Linked DNA regions of Macaca fascicularis. Each later gene encodes a partner of the first gene's protein in a complex. Links are inferred from orthologs where the notes say so. Each region holds a gene or a part of one and is shown on either strand. Other genes may lie near its edges. The genes, in order: FLNA and ITGA2B.

What was found.
Region 2: the proteins of FLNA (region 1) and ITGA2B are in contact, whole or in part, in an NMR structure (PDB 7SFT), measured with the Homo sapiens proteins. The link is inferred for Macaca fascicularis from reciprocal best matches to the Homo sapiens genes FLNA and ITGA2B. Residues at the interface, in NP_001104026.1 of Homo sapiens: Thr2263, Gly2267, Ala2268, Gly2269, Gly2270, Leu2271, Ile2273, Ala2274, Val2275, Glu2276, Gly2277, Ser2279, Ile2283, Phe2285, Asp2287, Arg2288, Lys2289, Gly2291, Cys2293, Val2295; in NP_000410.2 of Homo sapiens: Trp1019, Lys1020, Val1021, Gly1022, Phe1023, Phe1024, Lys1025, Arg1026, Asn1027, Arg1028, Pro1029, Pro1030.

The regions. Positions count from the first base shown.
Region 1 is NC_088395.1:160,361,774-160,365,575, reverse strand, and holds part of FLNA (filamin-A), read right to left. Parts: intron 3,407-3,802; 5' UTR 3,291-3,406; coding exon 2,918-3,290; intron 110-2,917; coding exon 1-109. UniProt on the Homo sapiens protein: Promotes orthogonal branching of actin filaments and links actin filaments to membrane glycoproteins. Anchors various transmembrane proteins to the actin cytoskeleton and serves as a scaffold for a wide range of cytoplasmic signaling proteins.
Region 2 is NC_088390.1:65,449,193-65,453,454, reverse strand, and holds the start of ITGA2B (integrin alpha-IIb), read left to right. Parts: upstream 1-1,431; 5' UTR 1,432-1,463; coding exon 1,464-1,651; intron 1,652-4,262. UniProt on the Homo sapiens protein: Integrin alpha-IIb/beta-3 is a receptor for fibronectin, fibrinogen, plasminogen, prothrombin, thrombospondin and vitronectin. It recognizes the sequence R-G-D in a wide array of ligands.

The DNA.
Region 1 (3,802 bases):
TCATCCTCCTCCTCATCCCACATGGGCATGGAGATGGAGTAGTGCAGGATCAGGGTCCAGATGAGGCCCAGGATCAGCTTCAGGTTCCCGTCCACGATGGCCTTGCTGTCTGTGAGTACAAGAGTGGCTACACTGGGCACACAGCTGTGCGGGAGGGGCCGCTCCCAGGCTTTGGGGTCATGGTCTGGTAGCACGGGATGGGGGGGCCAAGGAGGAGGGAGACACCCCGTCTTGACCAGTGGTAGGATGTGGATGAGGCCCTCTCTGCCCAGCATCCCAGGGGGCGTTCAGAAGTAAAGGAGACTTTGGGGTAAGGGGAGATACCCACAGACATGCGATGATAGCAGGGTATGATTACTGCCAGAAGCCCTGGGCCCAGAGGAAGGGCAGAGGGCAGACCCAGCCCACAGATGGTCAGCTCTGGAGAACAGCTGGACAGTGTCCACAGCTGCCAGAGCAGGGGTCTGCCACCCGCCTCAGGGGCCTATGGGGAACCAGGAGGAGGAGATTGGCTCCAGCTGGCCCAGAATCCAGGGCCCATGGCCTGGAGTGGGGCTGGGGCTGAGGAAGAGGAAGACGGGTGGCCCTGGGTGGTTGGGAAATACAACTGTTGTTCCAGGGTGGGTGGGGTGAGGCAGGGGAAGTGGGGGAGTTGGGCAAACACCCTTTGGGTAAAGGAGTGTGACCCCCACCACCACCTCCACTTCCTCTACCACCTCGAAGACCCAAGCTTGGAGCTGGGAGGCCACAGGCCCGGCCAGGGGAGAGGCCCAGAGCCCAAAGGAACCAGCAGTTGGGCCACATGGCCCTGACTCACTGGGGCCCATCGGGAGATGCCGGGCTGGCAGCAGGAGACACTGTGGGAACCCCCTTGCCACCCACTGCCTGATCCACTTGCCACCTAACGGGCCTGGGCCTCGGCAGGCTCGCCACAGGGGAAGTGGTTAGGGCGGGTCCCCGACACCCCCCATTGCCATGGCAACCCTGCTGGGCTCTGGGCCCCACCCAAAGCTACTTCTGGGTCTCAGGCTCAAGGCAGGATGGTTTGGGCTTTCTAAGAGCTCATCTTTAGAAGCTCTGTCAGCCTCTCCCATAATCAGACAAAATACTTCTCTGGTGAGTCAACTAGGGGGTGGGTCTATGAGGAGGGGCTGGGCCGTCCACGGCAGCTGCTTCCCAGCCCAGCAGGCAGCACCTGGAGGGCCAGGTGGGCCGCTCAAAGTAGAGTGGCCTCCCCAGTTCCCAGATTGGTCCTGGCCCCACGAGGCTGCCTTTCACTTTCCCTAAATGACAGCGGGGAGAGGGGCTCAGAGAGGACTGAGGGTGCAAGGCCAGGGAACAAGGCCAGCCAGGGCTTCCCATCAGGCCCCCACCCCAATCCAGCCTGAGACCCCTTAACGACCCCCACACCGGGAGCAACCAGGCCCACCAGGTCCATGTTAGGCCAACCTACTCCGTCCCCATCCCCCTCCCAAAAGAGAGTGTGAAGGACCAGGGCCCAGGGCTGGGAGACTGCCTGGCTGGATGGCCCCGCCCCATCCCACCCCCTTTCCCCAGCCCCCGGGCCAGCCAGCCCCTCCCTCCCCTAATCACTGCTGCTTTCCAACATTTTTTTGCCTTATATGGCAAAGCTCTGGGAACTAGGCCTGCTCCAGCCAGCTCACAAGGAGGAGGGGAGCTGGGAGGAGGGAGGAGACCCCCGCCAAAGAACTGGGGTGTGGCCCGCCTCCCCACATCCGGTCGCCCCCCCCCACACACACCATCCAGGACTCTGAAATGACTCAGCTTGGCTAGACTGAGGCTGGGACTTGGGGGGGTGGGCCTGCCCCTCGCCTCAACTGGCATTCCAAAGAAAGAACTTCAATTCTTGGGATCTGCCCTCTGAGTGGCTGGGGGAACCCAAGTCTTGGTCCCTCACTTTCTTGGGTTCAGCAAGGGCCATTCCAGAGCTGCAGGGATAACTGGAAGGCCTCTCAGTTCTGAAGAAGAGAAGAATCATCATCCCTCTCCTCTCCCTGTTCAACGTCACCCCCAAGTCACCCGTTCTGGTGCCTGCCCTTCCAAGCAGCCCCTATCTTGAGAAAGAACTGGGATGCTGCAGCAGGCCTGGTCAATGCCAGCCTCACCAGTCCAGTGACACAGACACTGGGCTGGCACAGTGCACGCCGGAGCATCTACCAACCAACTCCTGCGTGCTATACGCAGAAAAGCAAGGCCAACATGGAAGCAAGAATTTGTCCCAAGATGAACAGAAAAGTTGGCGTCCAAGTAGTCTACAAGCCAGGTCCCTCAGTCAACCACGCCCAACTCCGGGTACAGTTTTGCTAACTACGCTTCTTTCTGGCCCCCAGGTTCCCTGTGTGTGTGGGGGAGGTAGATCTAAACTGGTGGTTGGAGCCATCTCCGATGGGCGACGCATCCTCCAGGGACAGAAAGAGCCCAGAGTCCTAGACAATGGGACGCACGAGCTCCAACCCACACTTTAGAAACAAGGGGAGTTTGAAGCCAGAGGGCCCTCTCTAAACAGCTGTGGGGGGAGAGCCTGGGCCTCCTCCTCCTCGAGGATGGGGCGCAGGGCCAGAGCCTGCCCAGTGCCCGACCCCCCAGGCCCACTCCCACCGCGAGCACATCTGCGGGGGCGCGGCCTGCTGAGGATGGTGAGTTCAGCCTGGGCGCCGGCCAGCCGGGGCGCGGCGGGCGGGGGCGCGTAGCGGTTCGCACGCTCGGCCGGCCAGCCCGCCAGCCCGCCAGCCCGCGCGCCTTTGTTCTCCAGGCCCGCGTGGAGCAGACCAGCCGGGGGCCTCGGGAGCTGCGCCGCAGCCCGGAAGGAGGTGGTTTGGAGGGGTCCGCCCGGGGAGATGGAAGGACGCACGGAATTCCCGCCCCCGCCCGCCCGGCGCTTCGGGGCGTCCCTCACCGATGGACACCAGTTTGATGCTCTCGCGGTCCAGGAACTCGAGCGCCACCGACACATTCTCAAGCTGCATTTGGCGGAAAGTGGGCCGCTGGTTGTGCTTGCGGTGCATCTTCTTCTGGCTGAGCACCTCCAGCAGCGCGATGAGCCGCAGCCCGTCGCTCAGGTCCGTCTGCAGGTTGGCGATGCGCTTGCTCACGCACTTCAGGTGCTCGTTGCACCAGCGCGTGAAAGTGTTCTGCTGGATCTTCTTCCACGGTGCGTCCTCCGCGAGGTCCTTCTCGGTGGCCGGCATCTCCGCGTCCCGCGTGTCAGCGCCACCACCCGGAGCCGCGCCTGCTGCGCTCTGGCCCGCCCGAGAGTGGGAGCTACTCATTTTGAGGCGCGAGAAGCCGGGGGGGCGGTGCTGCAGCCTCGGCGAGGGGACGGCCCTTTAATTAAAGTCGCAGGCACCTCGGCGCGCGGGAGGCGAGGAAGGAAGCAGAGGTTGCGCTGCGGAGAGAGCGAGCCCTTTAAATGCGGGCGGAGGGCGGGGCCAGGGGGCGGGCCTCCTGCGGGGAGGGGCCGTGGGGTGGGGCTTCGGGGGCGCGACTGCCCCACCCCGCCCCGCCCGTTGGAATGCCCCCACTAGGCCCCGGGCTTTGGCTGATCAGACGTGAAACCCGGGCTCCGGGGTGGGTCGCTGGGCCCTGGAGTGGGCAAGGATGCTCCCAGCCCCGCGGCCTCGCGTTGGCGCTGCAGGAAACGCGCCCCAGAGCGAGGAAAGGCTGAGCAGTATCTGGCGCGGGACTGCTTGGCCTGCAGCCGGCGCGCCTTACAAGGGACTTTCCTTCCCCAGGGCTCCTGCGAGGGGTGGGGTGGTTCTCGTCCCTAAGTCACTTGGGCTCT
Region 2 (4,262 bases), on another chromosome or scaffold:
TAATCACATGCCTCCCGTGTACTTGACACTGGGAATTCAGCAATGAAGAAGGCTCAGACCAAAGTCTAGGCTTTTAGCTTCCTGTCCTATAAAGGATAAGATTCTTAGCTCTATGCTGAGGTAGTAAATTATGAGGGGACTTCAAAATGGCACAGGGTGGTTGAGCAGGATACAGCAATGGTTAAGTTTGGTCGGAAAATAGAAATCAAAAGGAAAATGTGGCTATGGTTACCCCTAGCAAACCTCTTGAATCTCCTTCCTGAGAACCTGCTTTTTTGGGAAGGCACGAGTGCCAGTAAGACTTGGCACTCCTCCTCTTCCGCTTACCCAGAGAAAATGACAGCCTTTCTGCTCAAAACTCATCCCTTCACTTTGTCACCCTATATTTGCATCTTCCATCCTTAGTGTGTGTTTCCGTCCAGTCGTTCGGCAATACACGTACTACATGTTGGACTCTTGGGTAGTCTCTAGGGCTGTAGCAAGGAGCCTTGCTCCCAAGGGACTCATTTACATAATCCTGTGAACAGACCATGAGTAAACAGTGTGCTCAATACTGTGCCTATGTGTGTTAGCCCATGCGGCCAGCCTGAGGAGTCAGGGAAGGCTCCCCTAGGCAAAGACCCCAACCAGAATCAAGTCTTAATGGTTAGACAAGAGCTCCGTCACCCAAAAAGGATTGAGGGCCTACCTTCAACTGAACAGCTAATGCATAATCTCAGAACCTGTGAGTCAAAATTCCCTGGAATAACTCCACTTTATCCCCAATATCCTTGCCACCTAGACCAAGGTCCGTTCACCACCCTGTCCCCAGCACTGACTGCACTGCTGTGGCCACACTAAAACTTGGCTCAAGACAGACAAGTGAGGAAGCTGCTGCGCCAGTATGGCTGGTTGAGGCCGCCCAAGGTCCTAGGAGGAAGCGGGTAAATGCCATATCCAAAAAGACACAGCAGCCTCAGGTTTTATCAGAGGGCAGCAGCTTCCTTCTCCTTCCCCAACCTCTGGCTAAGTCACAAAGCACCACAGCTGTACAACCAGATGGGGGAAGGGAGGAGATTAGAACTGTAGGCTAGAGTAGACAGGTATGGAGCAGTTCACAATCACGGTATCCCAAGCAGAAAGTGATGGTGGCTTGGACTAGCATGGTGGTATTAGAGATGGGGTAAAGATTCAAGAGACATCGTTGATAGGCAGAACCAATAGGACTTGGTAATAAACTATTCTCAGGAAAAGGGAGGACTCATGGCTTTCAGCTATGAGCATCCAGCCATGAGCATGGCCTCACCCACTTCCTGACAATTCTAGCCACCATGAGTCCAGGGGCTATAGCCCTTTGCTCTGCCCATTGCTCAGCAAGTTACTTGGGGTTGCAGTTTGATAAGAAAAGACTTCCTGTGGAGGAATCTGAAGGGAAGAAGGAGGAGCTGGTCCATTCCTGCCTGGGAGGTTGTGGAAGAAGGAAGATGGCCAGAGCTTTGTGTCCACTGCAAGCCCTCTGGCTTCTGGAGTGGGTGCTGCTGCTCTTGGGACCTTGTGCTGCCCCTCCAGCCTGGGCCTTGAACCTGGACCCAGTGCATCTCACCTTCTATGCAGGCCCCAATGGCAGCCACTTTGGGTTTTCACTGGACTTCCACAAGGACAGCCATGGGAGGTGAGCTATGAGGGAAGTTTGGGTATTGGGAAAGAGCAGGACCCCTCCCCATCACTGCTTCTGGGGGCTTCAAGTTTCCCATTTGTTATGGCAGTTGAGCAAGGTGACTTGTGGGGCCTATTCAGGTTGATTTCTTGTCAAGAATGCTGAGGTCTGGGGGACTGGCTCAGGTGAAGGTGTAAGGGCAGGGCACAGGTGTGGGTGATGGGCACTGAAACTATAGCAAGAACCAAGGGAAGACAAGAGTTGATGCTTTATTTTTTCCCCAAGGGTCAGTTGTATGAACCACACCACCCTCAACACCTTGAAATGTGGAGAGGAGGCTGGGCATGGTGACTCACGCCTGTAATCCCAGCATTTTGGGAGGCCAAGGCGGGTGGATCACCTGAGGTCGAGAGTTCAAGACCAGCCTGACCAACATGGAGAGACCTCGTCTCTACTAAAAAAAGAAAAAAAAAAAAATTAGCTGGGCATGGTGGCGCATTCCTGTAATCCCAGTTGCTCGGGAGGCTGAGGCAGGAGAATCATTTGAACCTGAGAGGCAGAGGTTGTGGTGAGCTGAGATCACGCCATTGCACTCCAGCCTAGGCGAAACTCTGTCTCAAAAAAAAGAAAGAAAGAAAGAAATGTGGAGAGGAGCACATGTCCTAAAATTGATTTGCAGAACTAAAGTTGTCTACCCTCCCCAATCTTGCATTTCTATTCCATTTCCCTCATCTCCACCAACATTATAAATTTTTGAAAAGAAGCAATAGGTCATTAATGGTTAGTATTGATCAGGCTTCAGAATCAAGAGTGCCCAAGATTAGAGTCTTGGCTCCTCTTCATAGTGTGTACCCTGAGCTACTTACCGTGAGAGACACAGTGCCCACCAGCTTCAGGGGGTGGCAATGGGTGGCAATGGCAGATAGCCTTCAAGTGTCAGCCACTTAGGGGATTTCCCTAAGTGGGAAGTCCCTGCTGAAGACAGCCAGTTCACTCAAAGTCCCCTCCCAAGGTGGCCCACATCCAGTGACTGAACAATGAGAAGTGGGCGAGTGGGGAGAGTGGAGGCGGGGGGTGGGGAGGCATTTGATAAGGGTCCAGCCCTCTTTCCCTCTTTCATCAACTCTAACAATTCTTTTTTTTTCTTTTCTTTTTTTTTTTTTTTTTTTTTTGAGACGGGGTTTGGCTCTTGTTGCCCAGGCTGGAGTACGATAGTGCAATCTCCGGCTCACCACAACCTCCACCTTCCAGGTTCAAGCGATTCTCTTGCCTCAGCCTCCCGAGTAGCTGGGATTACAGGCATGTGCCACCACACCCGGTTAATTTTGTATTTTTAGTAGAGATGGGGTTTCTGTCAGGGTAGTCTCGAACTCCCAACCTCAGGTGATCCGCCTGCCTTGGCCTCCCAAAGTGCTGGGATTACAGGCATGAGCCACCACGCCGGGCCTTTTTTTTCTTGTTTTCTTTTGAGACAGAATTTTGCTCTTGTTGCCCAGGCTGGAGTGCAATGGCATGATCCCAGCTCACTGCAACCTCCGCCTCCTGGGTTCAAACGATTTTCCTGTCTCAGCCTCCCGAGTAGCTGGGATTACAGGTGCATGCCACCATGCCTGGCTAATTTTTGTATTTTTAGTAGAGACGGGGTTTCACTATGTTAGCCAGGCTGGTCTCGAACTCCTGACCTCAGGTGATTCGCCCGCCTCAGCCTCCCAAAGTGCTGGGATTACAGGTGTGAGCCACCGCGCCCGGCCAACTCTGACAATTTTGAAAGGTCATTCTAGCTCCAGAGCTTGTGGGTGTTGGCGAATGCTGTCATTGGGCCTGAATCAGCTCAACTCCTTCCTGTGCCCACTCCTGCTTATCTCCCCTCCTATAAGTAGTGATCCCATTGGCACTACTTAAACATTCTGCGGTTAAAAAAAATTATAGACCAGACACAGAGGCTCACGCCTGTAATCCCTTAGCCTCCCAAAGTGCTGGGATTACAGGTGTGAGCCACCATGACTGGCCTATAAAAAAATGTTTTTTGGCCGGGCGCGGTGGCTCAAGCCTGTAATCCCAGCACTTTGGGAGGCCGAGACGGGTGGATCACGAGGTCAGGAGATCGAGACCATCCTGGCTAACACGGTGAAACCCCGTCTCTACTAAAAAATACAAAAAACTAGCCGGGTGAGGTGGCAGGCGCCTGTAGTCCCAGCTACTAGGGAGGCTGAGGCAGGAGAATGACTTTAACCTGGGAGGCGGAGCTTGCAGTGAGCTGAGATCCGGCCACTGCATTCCAGCCTGGGCAACAGAGCGAGACTCCGTCTCAAAAAAAAAAAAAAAAAGTTTTTTAATTAGCTAGGCATGGTGTTGCACACCCACAGTTCCAGCTACTCGGGTGGCTGAGGGGAGAGGATTTCTTGAGCCCTGAAGATCAAGGCTACAGTGAGCTGTGATCGTGCTACTGCACTCCAGCTGGGCAACAGAATGAGACCCGGTCTCAAAACAACAAAATTATTTTTTAAAATTATAGCATTGTTTCAAGAGCATTTGTTATGTATTTGGCTGGGACCATGCTAACCATTACTCGTATTTATTACATTTACTCCTGACCGTTTTGATTGGTTGTGAAAAAGTCATTGGT